Linked DNA regions of Drosophila melanogaster. The protein of the gene in region 1 purifies or fractionates together with the protein of each later gene. This does not show direct contact. Each region holds a gene or a part of one and is shown on either strand. Other genes may lie near its edges.

Region 1 (4,832 bases):
CATTTGTTGCAGTATCATCAAATTGGCAGATTTGTGTTGTTGCTGGCCAACACAATTCAATCAGCTGCTGGGCAGCTAATGTGGGCCGAAAAATTTCACAAAAAAATAATACACAACTGTTAACATATATTCATGTTTATTTTTATATTAATGATGACCAGCTAGGCGTTGTGGCAAACCAAATGAATGGCGCCCAACAAGGCGTTGTGAAAATGTTTGCCGATTACTCAGCTGATAGCGGGGAAAACAGAGTGAATGAACGCATATATACATATGTGGGAAATTCTATATTATTTATGGAAAGTAACATCATTAGTGGGGATCATGGAGATTGAATACAATATTTAATAAAAGTTAAGACATTTCCAGTAGGTACTAGACACGGTACATAATCATTTCTGTCAAGAAATTGTATTTCCTCACCTGTGATAATTGGCCACTCGCATACTTATCTAGATTTAAATATACAAATTTCGTAAGTTCCTTACTAAAAATAGAATTCCAAACTCTAGATACGTTTCTACGCGTAAGCGTCCAAGAATCTCTTGCAAAAACGTGAGAGCGCACGGTTTTCATTTAAATTATTTTTGCTTTCCCCGACTTTTCCATCTCATACACGGTTTTCCCACCCACACCAACACTCTCAACGAATTGAGAGAATATGTGTAGTGTAAACAACAAACGCATTTTTCCGTTTGTTATTATTTTTAAAAATTCTCATAGCACCATATAAGTCTATTAAGAGTTTTGATCATTAACTGAATAGCTTTCAATGATCTCGTTTGTGATTGATGAGTGTGTGCCAAGAAGAAAAACTCGAAGAGAAATGTTAATGGCCAAATAAGTTGGGGCGTATTAATTAATGTCAATTTGGCCAACCGAAAAAATCTGGCAAATCTATAAATGCACTATTCGCTCTATTAACAATTTTCCGTTTGTGTTTATGGCTTTTGGGTCCCTAACCAGCTATCCCCAAAACCAACAACCAACCCACCCACCCAGAAAAACAGCCCACACCCAACAAATTATGGCCGAGAGAATGCGGCGGTATATAAGTTTTGGTTTAGTTTTGAAATTCTTATTTCTAATTGCGAGTGCGTTCTCATCATCGCTGAGAGATTTCCATCGCAACCATGTATGGATTGGGCCAACGTGCAAATGTTGATTAAAAATTAGACAAAACAAAAAACGAACACGCCACCCATACATCTGCAGACACCTCCGCAGCTGCAGACAAAGATATAGCAACAGATACAAATACATATAAAGATAACGATTCGGATTCGGATGGAGAGCAAACATTACGCCTACGATTGGGATGCTCCGATCCGGAGGATCTTCTCGGGTGTGAGTGTCTGTGTGCCATCGCGATGTTGTTTACCAAGGCGCTCAGATCCGTCTGTTTCTCTGTTTCTCAGTCGATATTACACAAAGAGAAAATGTTGAAAGCTGTGACCTAAACATCACCAAGTTCACAAGCCTTTACTTAGCTTTAAACCAAATAATTAAAAGTATTAAATATTTTTCTGGCATATTTACTTAATAATATAATAATAATACTTAAGAAGTAGTTTGTGGTATGATATTTTAATATTAGAAAATCATTACACAATAGAAAATAGGTACAAAATTGATTATTTTCATTCCATCATATGCGCTTTACAAAAATCTATATTTTCTCATAACATATTTTGAGCCATCTTTCCTGCAGTGCACCATCTGGGAAATTATGAACGAAGCGAGCAGAAGTCCAAAAGCAAAAATCCAACGAAAACAAATTATTTTTAAAAGAAACTCAGAATCTCCCCCCGCCGGCGCAATGTGCATCCATGTGCACATGTGTGCCGAGAGGCGATTGAGTGTGCGTGCGGAAAATATCTAAAACGACTGAGGGTCGCCAGAATGGTATAAATATTAGCGCATCTCGGTCCAGCGACCACTCGCAGTTCTACAGCGAAAGTGTTGATTTGGATTTCTAGTTTTTCTTCGTCTAACGGTTAGTATACTCCACATCCACCAATTCCGTCTGTCTGGTTGACTTTTACCCAATCCGATGCTGGATCCAGTGTACAGTGCCCAACTTTCTGAAAAGAAAGATACTTTGGAAAGATAGAGATCTCAACAAACAACATATTTGACAAGGAGCAGAAAAAGTTTAATCAACGATCCTTAAATGTTTGGTTTTTAATAGTGACTAATTTTTGTTTAAAAAAACATTCTTTAAAATGTTAAAACTGAAAAATATTAGTTGTTTGATCTTAAATCAAAAATTATAATTAATTAAAACTTTTATTAAAGTATGTAATATTTTCAAAAGTTGAAGACAGCCCTTTTTTATTAATTTTAATGATTGCTCCTCTGCAAAGATACTCTTTCTTTTAAAGTCATACATGTTCTGAGGCAACACCTACACGTATTTCATAATTTCACACTTACACACAAGATTACAATTAAAATCCATACCCAATCCGAATACCGAAAGCCCACTTCTCACTTCTCCTTCTAAAAACCGCCTCCGTTCTCGTTGTTGTTGCAGTGAAAACAGCCAGTAGCCAAGATGTGTGACGATGAGGTTGCCGCATTGGTCGTGGACAATGGTTCCGGAATGTGCAAGGCAGGATTCGCCGGCGATGATGCGCCCCGCGCCGTCTTCCCCTCGATTGTGGGTCGTCCCCGTCATCAGGGCGTAATGGTGGGCATGGGACAGAAGGACTCCTATGTTGGTGATGAGGCCCAGAGCAAGCGTGGTATCCTCACCCTGAAATACCCCATCGAGCACGGCATCATCACCAACTGGGACGATATGGAGAAGATCTGGCACCACACTTTCTATAACGAGCTGCGCGTCGCCCCCGAGGAACACCCCGTCCTGCTGACCGAGGCCCCCCTGAACCCCAAGGCCAATCGCGAGAAGATGACCCAGATCATGTTCGAGACCTTCAACGCACCCGCCATGTATGTGGCCATCCAGGCTGTGCTCTCGCTGTACGCCTCCGGTCGTACCACCGGTATTGTCCTCGACTCCGGTGACGGTGTCTCCCACACCGTGCCCATCTACGAGGGTTACGCCCTGCCCCACGCCATCCTGCGTCTGGATCTGGCTGGTCGCGATTTGACCGACTACCTGATGAAGATCCTGACCGAGCGCGGTTACTCATTCACCACCACCGCTGAGCGTGAAATCGTTCGCGACATCAAGGAGAAGCTGTGCTATGTTGCCCTGGACTTTGAGCAGGAGATGGCCACCGCCGCCGCCTCCACATCCCTGGAGAAGTCATACGAGCTTCCCGACGGACAGGTGATCACCATCGGCAACGAACGTTTCCGCTGCCCAGAGTCGCTGTTCCAGCCCTCTTTCCTGGGAATGGAATCGTGCGGCATCCACGAGACCGTGTACAACTCGATCATGAAGTGCGATGTGGACATCCGTAAGGATCTGTATGCTAACATCGTCATGTCGGGTGGTACCACCATGTACCCTGGTATTGCCGATCGTATGCAGAAGGAGATCACCGCCCTGGCGCCGTCCACCATCAAGATCAAGATCATTGCCCCACCGGAGCGCAAGTACTCCGTCTGGATCGGTGGCTCCATCCTGGCCTCCCTGTCCACCTTCCAGCAGATGTGGATCTCCAAGCAGGAGTACGACGAGTCCGGCCCAGGAATCGTCCACCGCAAGTGCTTCTAAGCGATCTAAACACCACAGACACTGCAAACCACACGGGCATTGAGACCCAACCACACCACGCCACAGAACACCACACAACAACAACAAGAACAACATGAACAGCAACAACCAAATACCAAATCAAGATCTATAGCCTAGTGCTATTGATGATTAATCTTAAGTTAAAACCTCTTGCTGCCCTGCCATCCAAAGAAAACCGAAGGAACCGCGATTGTAACAGCATGTATTATACTTATATTAATATTTATTGGAGAGCCGCTTGATGGCGCTGAAGGAGGAGTTGAGGAGACACAAGAATGCAAAATTTTACAGTTTTAAAAATAAATTATACTAGCATCCTCTATAAATTAAATCTAAATTTTAAACGAAACGTATCTTTTATTCGCTGCAAGCGGCATGCTATGCGATTATTTTTAGCGACGCACAGGAAATTACGAAATTTTGCACGCCCACTGCAAAGAGCGAAATCTGGAGGTGGATCTCCTCGACTGGGGTGCACATACATATGTACATATGTGGCTGGGGATGAGCACGGTAATCCCAGCATAGACGCCTCCAAGACAGTCCATTTTTGCCCATTGCCAGTCGGTGCAGGAGCTGCCCCCCTCGTCGTGGATCTAAAAATACAGACCAAAGGAAACAACAAAAGCGGCAAATCAACATGCCGAAGTATTAACAAATGTCTTCTAAGACTACAGTCAACCCACAGTAGATTGAACAAATATGTGACTTTGAATGTCAGAATATCAACTTTAAAGGGATTCGAAAATATATATTTTTAAAACTAAACTAATTAGGAATACAAGAGCTCGCTGAAAACAGTCTTCGTTCAAGACCTAGTTAAGTATATTTTAGGTATGTTCCACTGTAACAATGTGTGAGATGGCCGTTTTTTTGGAGTTAACATAGCCGCTGGGAGAAGCGACCGCCGGCTGTCTTTTAAATTGCAGTGCCACGACCTCGGGGGCTGCAAAAATATCTTGGAATTTCAAGTACATTTGTGTGGCTGGTCCGGGACGCTTGTACTTGAAGATCGAGCAGACAGACGACACCAGGCAGATGGGCCTCCTCGGGACTCGGGATTCCTGGAATGGGGTGCCCAAATCGAAAATAGACGAGATACGGGTAGGGTATGTTGTACTGT
Region 2 (4,861 bases), 2.5 Mb from region 1:
TTCTGGCATTTGGCGCTGTCGATGTTGCTAGTGCTGTTTGTTTGCTGCTGCACTGCGTCCATTGTGATATAATTATCCAATTAAGATTAGTCAAACATTTGTTTTTGCGCCTCTGTTTACTTTCCCGATGCTCGCCGTTTATCTTCAGCCAAAACTCTCGCGTTGATCGAGTTTTATCTGCTCTTTCCGACCAACTACCTTTATGGCTGAAACGATACTGAGCGGGTTTGCCACACTGCGGATCTGGCCGCTCATATGCTTGCTGAACACACAAGTAGTTCCCCCGAAAAATTGGATAACACGCTCTCCCTCTCCAATTATTTTCGTTTTCGGCGCTCTCTGGGGGATCATTGTTGTGGTTTGTTTTCACCTCGCGAGCAGCCTTTTGTTTACTCAGGAGCGGATTCGTTGGGCCCCCATGCCAAATTTCAAGTTTGAGGACATAAATGACAATGTGCAGCATATGGTATAATTTATGCGGCCAGTCAAAGTAGGAAAACAATTAGTTTCCTAAAGAAATAAAGCTAAGCCAAACGAATATAAATAAAATGTAACTGAAAAACTAATATTCTGTTTTACCTTGGATAATCATTTATATTTTAATTCATTTTATAAAAAGGTTTACAATTGAATCAGTCTTTAAACGTGCATGAATGAAACCAATTATTCTTTTCCACAATACTTCTAGTACCTATAGATATTTAAAATTCAATTCATATTTTTGTGGGAACATATGGCACGTGGCAAGCCTACTAATTTTTGGTACTTAAGGAATTTCATCCAAAGTCTCTTTTAATTACTAACATCGTGTCTTGAATCTCTCATCTGGAAGTACTAAACAAATAATTTAATCACGCACTTACTAATTTGTTTGTTTCAGCGAATATAGCGTCATTTGTATTAAAGTCTCGACTGTAATATAATTACTTCCAAATTGGGCTTAAACCATACTGTGTTTAACAAAAAAAACTTCAACAGGAAACTGTGACGTGATTTGAAAAAAAATTGACAATAAATTGTGAACAAAATATTGTATAATTGAACACCTATAATTGCAGTGCGAAATTTTCTTAGGGCTTGATTTTTTTTTAATATCAACAAGATTTTACTCTTATATTGTCTGGACTGCAGTTCCTACAATTAGTTGAAAATAGTCTTTAAAACGTAAATAAAATTAAATACATTGTCGCCAAAGATGGAATGACGAAAACGACATTAACTTTCACAATCTAATACCAAGATATCCATCATGCTATATTTAAATTAACCTTGATCAATAATTATTCAAGGCACGGGAAAACAAATAGCTCGTCACGAAAGGTGTTATTTGTTTGCAGTTTGCTTTTGGATTGGATCCACCTGGTAGAAGAATTTAGTGTACTAAAGGAGAGCTTTACAAATATTGTAATTTGATACATTATGTTTTGGATTAGCATTTGATTTATTCTTCACAGTGAAGCGAATTGTTTGCTTTGTTACAATCATCTAATATTTTCGAATACAATGTTTGCCTTTTTTAAGCTTAGGTATAGGTAAATTTGATTATCAAGGTTAGTTCTTTATACTTAAAGTAATTATGTCTTGTAGTCTAGCCGAAAACTGGATTTTGCTGCTTCTTTTAATCTCCTGACTCCTAAAACTCCGAAGCTTCAAAATTCGGAGCGCGCGTTTTATTGATTCGCTTCGTTCTAATGTTGTGACAAGCAGTCTCAGACAATATTTACCAAATCTTACGAAATGAAAGACCCATACGTATACTTTCACCCAAGTTGACCTCTCTGGATGATAGTGTACGAAGATTATCAGCTCGGAAACTTTTGTAGCTTCGTTTGCTGCGTTTATTTTGTGTCAGTTGTTGTTGCCGCTCGGAAGTCTTTTATAAAGGCCAGTCGGGCTAGAAATTCTATTCAGTTCAAATATTAACGGCGTCGTGTGCAGTTGCCTGGCATTTGATATAAACTGTGAGTGTGAATTGGAAAATAGTGTTCTATCCCATCCATATTTATGCAAATATTTATAGTAGAGTGATTGCATTCGTAAATCGACGTTGCTTACAATTCCCGTTCATATAGTAGCAAAATAAACAATCCGTGTGCGGTGTGATATTTGAATGCAACGCATTTTGTTGGGTATAAATTGGCAGTGCTTGTTTGTTTGTCCGCCACTTGGTTTATTGAAAATTACTGATGGAGGCTTATTAAGGTAGTGATAGTGAATAAACATTTATAAAAATAGTACAGCGCCACGATAAGGCTAAATCTTTCACTTGTGCATGTGATATATTGATAAGAACAAATAGAAGATTATTGTTGAAGTAAAGAATAAACAAATAAACAAAACAACTGAATGGAGTGTTTGAAAAGATTTGTCATATTGCGAATCTTAAACATCGAAATATTAAGAGTCGACCTAACTAGTTTTAAAAATCTTTGAATTTTTTCATTTCTAATACAAAATGTGCTTTCATTTGTTTTGCTGGATTAATTACATAATTATATTTGAAGATAGCTTAGACATCACGACAACAAATATTTGTTTATAGCTCCTAAAGCTTAGATTACATTGCGCATTTGAAGAAAGCCACTGCCCAACGGTTAAGTAAGCTTTTCCTGTTCTAAGCCCAAGCTTTTAAGAGATAGCTTTGTTTTGGGGCCAGCACTTTGACTACGCTCCTTTAAAACGTCGGAAGGTCCACAGGTGTCACTGGAAAATGTTTGATTTGGGCGTGTTGGTTCGACAGGTGTCGTCCCATTTTGAATTTGTTATGAAATGTGACAGCAAATCGGGGGAGTGTCCATAAGTGGGCTCTACGCCTGATCGGAATATCAATTGTTTTGGGCAAATGACACACCTCAAAGCCCCCGTTGAACTACGCCTCTCTCATCTGGAAGTACTAAACAAATAATTTAATCACGCACTTACTAATTTGTTTGTTTCAGCGAATATAGCGTCATTTGTATTAAAGTCTCGACTGTAATATAATTACTTCCAAATTGGGCTTAAACCATACTGTGTTTAACAAAAAAAACTTCAACAGGAAACTGTGACGTGATTTGAAAAAAAATTGACAATAAATTGTGAACAAAATATTGTATAATTGAACACCTATAATTGCAGTGCGAAATTTTCTTAGGGCTTGATTTTTTTTTAATATCAACAAGATTTTACTCTTATATTGTCTGGACTGCAGTTCCTACAATTAGTTGAAAATAGTCTTTAAAACGTAAATAAAATTAAATACATTGTCGCCAAAGATGGAATGACGAAAACGACATTAACTTTCACAATCTAATACCAAGATATCCATCATGCTATATTTAAATTAACCTTGATCAATAATTATTCAAGGCACGGGAAAACAAATAGCTCGTCACGAAAGGTGTTATTTGTTTGCAGTTTGCTTTTGGATTGGATCCACCTGGTAGAAGAATTTAGTGTACTAAAGGAGAGCTTTACAAATATTGTAATTTGATACATTATGTTTTGGATTAGCATTTGATTTATTCTTCACAGTGAAGCGAATTGTTTGCTTTGTTACAATCATCTAATATTTTCGAATACAATGTTTGCCTTTTTTAAGCTTAGGTATAGGTAAATTTGATTATCAAGGTTAGTTCTTTATACTTAAAGTAATTATGTCTTGTAGTCTAGCCGAAAACTGGATTTTGCTGCTTCTTTTAATCTCCTGACTCCTAAAACTCCGAAGCTTCAAAATTCGGAGCGCGCGTTTTATTGATTCGCTTCGTTCTAATGTTGTGACAAGCAGTCTCAGACAATATTTACCAAATCTTACGAAATGAAAGACCCATACGTATACTTTCACCCAAGTTGACCTCTCTGGATGATAGTGTACGAAGATTATCAGCTCGGAAACTTTTGTAGCTTCGTTTGCTGCGTTTATTTTGTGTCAGTTGTTGTTGCCGCTCGGAAGTCTTTTATAAAGGCCAGTCGGGCTAGAAATTCTATTCAGTTCAAATATTAACGGCGTCGTGTGCAGTTGCCTGGCATTTGATATAAACTGTGAGTGTGAATTGGAAAATAGTGTTCTATCCCATCCATATTTATGCAAATATTTATAGTAGAGTGATTGCATTCGTAAATCGACGTTGCTTACAATTCCCGTTCATATAGTAGCAAAATAAACAATCCGTGTGCGGTGTGATATTTGAATGCAACGCATTTTGTTGGGTATAAATTGGCAGTGCTTGTTTGTTTGTCCGCCACTTGGTTTATTGAAAATTACTGATGGAGGCTTATTAAGGTAGTGATAGTGAATAAACATTTATAAAAATAGTACAGCGCCACGATAAGGCTAAATCTTTCACTTGTGCATGTGATATATTGATAAGAACAAATAGAAGATTATTGTTGAAGTAAAGAATAAACAAATAAACAAAACAACTGAATGGAGTGTTTGAAAAGATTTGTCATATTGCGAATCTTAAACATCGAAATATTAAGAGTCGACCTAACTAGTTTTAAAAATCTTTGAATTTTTTCATTTCTAATACAAAATGTGCTTTCATTTGTTTTGCTGGATTAATTACATAATTATATTTGAAGATAGCTTAGACATCACGACAACAAATATTTGTTTATAGCTCCTAAAGCTTAGATTACATTGCGCATTTGAAGAAAGCCACTGCCCAACGGTTAAGTAAGCTTTTCCTGTTCTAAGCCCAAGCTTTTAAGAGATAGCTTTGTTTTGGGGCCAGCACTTTGACTACGCTCCTTTAAAACGTCGGAAGGTCCACAGGTGTCACTGGAAAATGTTTGATTTGGGCGTGTTGGTTCGACAGGTGTCGTCCCATTTTGAATTTGTTATGAAATGTGACAGCAAATCGGGGGAGTGTCCATAAGT
Region 3 (4,613 bases), on another chromosome or scaffold:
GCGGAGCAAATACATGAAAAGTTAGTCAAGTAATTCCCATACAGTGAATCACTAGAACGTACATCGGGCAGGGATTCAAAGACATCGGCTGGGTCCAGACCACCAGGTCCGAGGCGCTCCTTGCGCTCCTCCTCTTCGGCCTGGGCTATCGCCTCCTGGATCTTCTCCTGCGCACGCTTCTGGATACGTCCTTTGAAACCTTCGATCTCGCTGTCGAACTGCGCGCGGTACTCGGGATGACAGTGCTGGATCTTTGAGAAGAAGGAGCTGACACAGGCGCGAGGATCCACGTCCAGCTGTTTGGCCAACTCTAGAATGTACTGCATGCAAATGCACTGATGCGCCACGTGGGCCATCAGCTCGTGCTTCTCCTCCATTTCCAGGTTGATGGACCAAATGACTAGGTAGTTGGCCGTCTCCTCGCCCACCAAGTGAAGATGCTCCTGCAGAAACCGCTTCGAATCGTCGTACTTGCGCAGCATGCCATACTGCTGGCAGAGCTTCTCGTTCTCCTTGACGAATTGCTTCATGCGCTGCTCTCGCTCTTCCTCGGACAGATTCTCATCCGGCTTGCGGCCGGCCTTCTTGTTGATTACGGTCTTCTCAAAGCCGGGCTTGCTGATGGTGTCCACGTTCCAGGGTGTTTTCTTTTCCTTCTTAATCATCTCGCTCTCGATGCGGTCCAGCTCTTTGCCCTCGGCCTCGATCTTTTCGAGCTCTTTCTGTAGGCGATACAAATTAGGGATTAAGCATTGCGATGAAAGATGGATGGCCACTTAGGATGATAGTCAATCATAAGCTTGACAATAAGAATAAATTAGATGGATTGAGAACATAGGGAACTCCCAGACCAGGCATTAGCCTAAGCAACAAGTGCGCAGTGCATTCGGTGCAATGACCCACCTTCAGGGCCTCCTCGTCGCCATCCTTCTTTGAGATCCGCTCCTTGACGTCCATGAGGCGCGCCTGGTAGCTCTGGCGCTTTTTCTTAAGCTCGTCCTTCTCGTGGTCCATCTCCGCCATGCGCTCCACGCGCGCCTGGTGCCGCCAGCGGAACAGAGAAGGCGTGTCTATGTTTGGGTGAGTGTCGTCCTCATCATCCGAAATCTAAAAGGTAGTGTGCCGATTAGGAGGACTTTTTGGGTTGGCACCCAGCAGTGGGCTCACCTCGATGTTCTTCCACTTGCTGTAGTCCACCATTTTGCTGTTTCTTTGCTTCGGATTTATATTTGAATGTAAATGCTGCAGGTTTTTGTTCTTTTTCGGCTGCTTCCTTTTTTTGGATTGCTCTGGAAATTAGTGTGACCGCAGGGCTATTGCGGAATAATACCATAATAAGCCCCGCTTACTCTGGGGCCGCGCTAGGAAATAGTAGTCATGCATGAGTGCACCAGATTGAATTGAAATACCCTGTCGTTTTTAATTTATTTACATCATCTACTACTACTCATCTACATCTACTAGAAAAATAATGAGATGACTAAGGCGCCAAAGCGACCAGAAAGAGAACTATGTTTATAATCGATTGACATCGATAGAAATCGCGATATTGATGTCAATGTTCTGCGCCAATCGGCCGACATATTGAAAAAAACTGCGGTCCCGTGAAATAGAGGCGCTCCGTGAAAATTACGAATAACTACTGCAAATCAATAGTTAAATTAACAAAGTAACTGTGAACAAATAGATTGCCATCAAAGTGTAAGTTTCTACATAGTTTTCGTCCGTAGCTCACTGTTAGTTGGGTTCAAAATGCAATTGAAATTCGGTGTGCGTGCAAAGTGAAAATTTTTCGGGTCAACGCCACACCCTCGAAGGCAACACAAAAATCCAATTAACGGGGCTAAAGTGAGAGAAAAGTCTTGGCCATAACTGAAAAGCTATGCTGTGCAATGTCACTGCTTGATTAGTAATAGAAATTTTGAATTTCTTTCAAAATTCTTGACTCCAATTGCAACTTAAGAAAAAGTATCTGGTGCTCCTGTTGTGCATGTGTGTGTGCGGTTACGCAGGAGTAGAGAACGCTGTGTGTGTGTACGTCATCGGGTGGTGGTGGTGGTGCGGCAACTTCAGATGAGAGAAAGCGGGAGAGCACACTCTCCCTCTCTTTGCTTGTTTGTGTTTCCAAGATATTTAAGTACGAATAAAAAAAAAGCAAAGTGCTTGCCTTACATATGCCAAAGTTTTGGGTGGGCAAGTGTCCTTGACTTTCTTGAAGGCCTGTGTTTGCATAGGATATTTTTGTTTGCTTGCCAGGCGATTCCGTGTTCGTAGTAGTCTTGCGTACCAGTTGATTTTTTGTGCCTCTTCATTGATTGCTCATAATTCCAAAGCGTACGCATTACGTCATCCTCTGCTATTTTCTGATAGACACTTCAATTAATGTTTCGCTCTCTCCGTCTCTTTCTATTCGCTCTCTTTTTGAGGTGCGATCTCTCGCAATTGCCGTTTCTGATGTTGTTTTTGTTTGCCACCGCGATAAACAGTTAAATTGGCCTGCCTGTGTGTTTGTATGTGAGCTCCAACATTGTATGGCTGCCAAGCCCTGGGCTGTTGCCATCTCCCTCTGATTTATTTCAATTTCCTGTGGCAAAGAGTGTTGTTTGTTTGTTTCTCTGCATGCTGACCCACCCTCTCCCCTAAATGATGTCATTGCTTGCTCTGCTGACCCCTTCTAAAGGGGCGATTTTGAAGTATTAAGTATTAAAATCCGGACATTCCACGGATTTCCTTATCGTTAGTGCTAATTGTATTTCATGTTACTCTATTGACAAAAATTCACTCCTTGGCTTTTCTCTATTAATCATTCTTGGCCAATCTTAACTATTTTACCTTCTGTGTAGTGTAGCTGAGAATTTCAGATATTTCTCTGCTTTTCTTATCTGAGTTGTTTTTTTTTTTTTTTTAGCACTAAAAATTGGAAACTATTAGAAATGTGATTTTATGGGCTATCAACTAAGTTTGGAAATTAAAATAAATGATATCTTATAAGAATTCATAGAAAATATTTATACTTTAACAACAAAAAATTGTTGATGCAATATTTAGATACTTTTAGAAACCTACTATTCTTTTATTGTTAAGGTTAATACCTTTACAAATTTGTTTAGCATACATGTGCGTTTTTCCAAACCTGACCTACAAATATATTCCTCATAATTTCCCGCCTAACTATAACCTTATTACAACTTTTAGTACAGGTGATGAAGTCATCACAACTCGTAGCATTTTACGTGTCGTTTACGTTGATTTAGTTTATTGTGTGAAAACATATTGTTTATACAGAAAAAAAAGAAAATCCTGCAACTTCAACCCATCCAAACAACTCTAAAAATAACTTAGAAAACGAAACCCACAAAAGCCGAGCCAACATTTCCCTTCTCTCCTCTTCCGTTGCAGGGAAACAAAAGGGAGAGAGGGATTGGAGGAGGGCCAAAGGTTGAAAATAGCTCGAGCTAAGGCACAGAAAATAGATCACCGGAACATGACTGCAGAGCTCAAAGCGTCAGATACAGAAATGACGAAGCCGGAAGAGAGGCATCTGCTGCAGCTGCTTGCGCAACTGGAGAAGGTGCCGCACCACCAGCTGGAGCAAAAGTTCGTCGCCTATTTTAAAAAGGTTGGCAAGGGTGATAACCAGAGTAACTGCACACTAGAGGACTTCGCCACCTACTTTTTAGGTGCACTGCGTCAAAGCACAAAGAGGTACTACTATTCGCAAAACTCGGAGACACCCGTGTTTCCCTTGACCCCCATCCATCAGCTCAAGCCGCCGGTCGCCGATGTGGTCAAGGAGGAGGAACAGCAGCAGCTCAATGAGTCCTCGATCCTTAGCCGGAGCAGCTGCAGTATGTCCTCCACTTCGAATACTACTCCGGCTCCCCAGCAGCCGCAGGGCAGAAGATCAACGCCAGGAAGTGGCGCCCAGTTTTGCAGCACGCCTAACAGAAGCGGCGGTGGGGGAGCAGGAGGAGGGCACAGCATCTGCTTGGGCAACTTTCTGGTCAATACACCTATCCAGAGCCATCAGCGATCTAAGAAGAAGATCACGCCCCAAAAACAGCAGCAAAATCAACATGCATCATTGGGTTCAGGAACTGGAGCTGGAGCCACGCCACAATCCAAGCCGCGGCGACGTGTCTTACCCATGACCATTAGCAAGAATGTTTCGGCCAGCTCCTCTTTCGGAGACACCAGTTCCTTTAGCAATGAAAATAACTTTTGGCGAATCTCGCAGAGCAGCGAAATCTTCGATAGAAGCCAAGAAGCAGCCCTGGAAATGGAGGCCCGCAAGTTCCTGTTGCTCAAAAAGCAGGAAATCAAAAGCGAAGCGCCTGTGAATGTTAGTCAACAGGAGAGGACACCCGAAGATGAGGTTTTCCCTGAGGAAGCCATTAGCTTGGAGGGTGTGGCTAATGCCAATCACTTGCAGCTCCTATCAACCATTTACAGCCTGTTAATGGACCTCAATTTGGTGCCCAACGTACTACGTGAACTTAGTTTTGTGGTCCATCTGCTAAATGTGCGAGATTTTGGCCAATCACCCGTCAAATCGTATGTACCCAGTGCTTTGGAGGGACTCACCCAGCACAAAAGTTGTGTATACTTTGCCG

What was found. Proteins that work in one complex are often made in the same cells at the same time.
Region 2: the proteins of Act87E (region 1) and glob1 purify together in Drosophila melanogaster (affinity purification with western blotting; one study listed by BioGRID). This does not show direct contact.
Region 3: the proteins of Act87E (region 1) and alpha-Spec purify together in Drosophila melanogaster (affinity purification with western blotting, with the first as the bait; one study listed by BioGRID). This does not show direct contact.

What each region holds. Positions count from the first base shown.
Region 1 is NT_033777.3:13,424,047-13,428,878, forward strand, and holds Act87E (actin 87E), read left to right. Parts: upstream 1-1,936; 5' UTR 1,937-1,996; exon of another isoform or gene 1,997-2,132; intron 2,133-2,400; exon of another isoform or gene 2,401-2,536; 5' UTR 2,537-2,557; coding exon 2,558-3,688; 3' UTR 3,689-4,329; downstream 4,330-4,832. UniProt on the Drosophila melanogaster protein: Actins are highly conserved proteins that are involved in various types of cell motility and are ubiquitously expressed in all eukaryotic cells.
Region 2 is NT_033777.3:15,901,602-15,906,462, reverse strand, and holds the start of glob1 (globin 1), read left to right. Parts: upstream 1-1,819; 5' UTR 1,820-1,961; intron 1,962-3,878; exon of another isoform or gene 3,879-4,020; intron 4,021-4,079; exon of another isoform or gene 4,080-4,261; intron 4,262-4,861.
Region 3 is NT_037436.4:1,792,287-1,796,899, reverse strand, and holds the start of alpha-Spec (alpha spectrin), read left to right. Parts: upstream 1-1,571; 5' UTR 1,572-1,701; intron 1,702-3,399; exon of another isoform or gene 3,400-3,484; coding exon of another isoform or gene 3,485-4,613. Other genes in the region: Cdc37 (cell division cycle 37), read right to left, coding at 63-722, 904-1,107, 1,168-1,200; dlt (discs lost), read left to right, coding at 3,485-4,613. UniProt on the Drosophila melanogaster protein: Spectrin is the major constituent of the cytoskeletal network underlying the erythrocyte plasma membrane. It associates with band 4.1 and actin to form the cytoskeletal superstructure of the erythrocyte plasma membrane.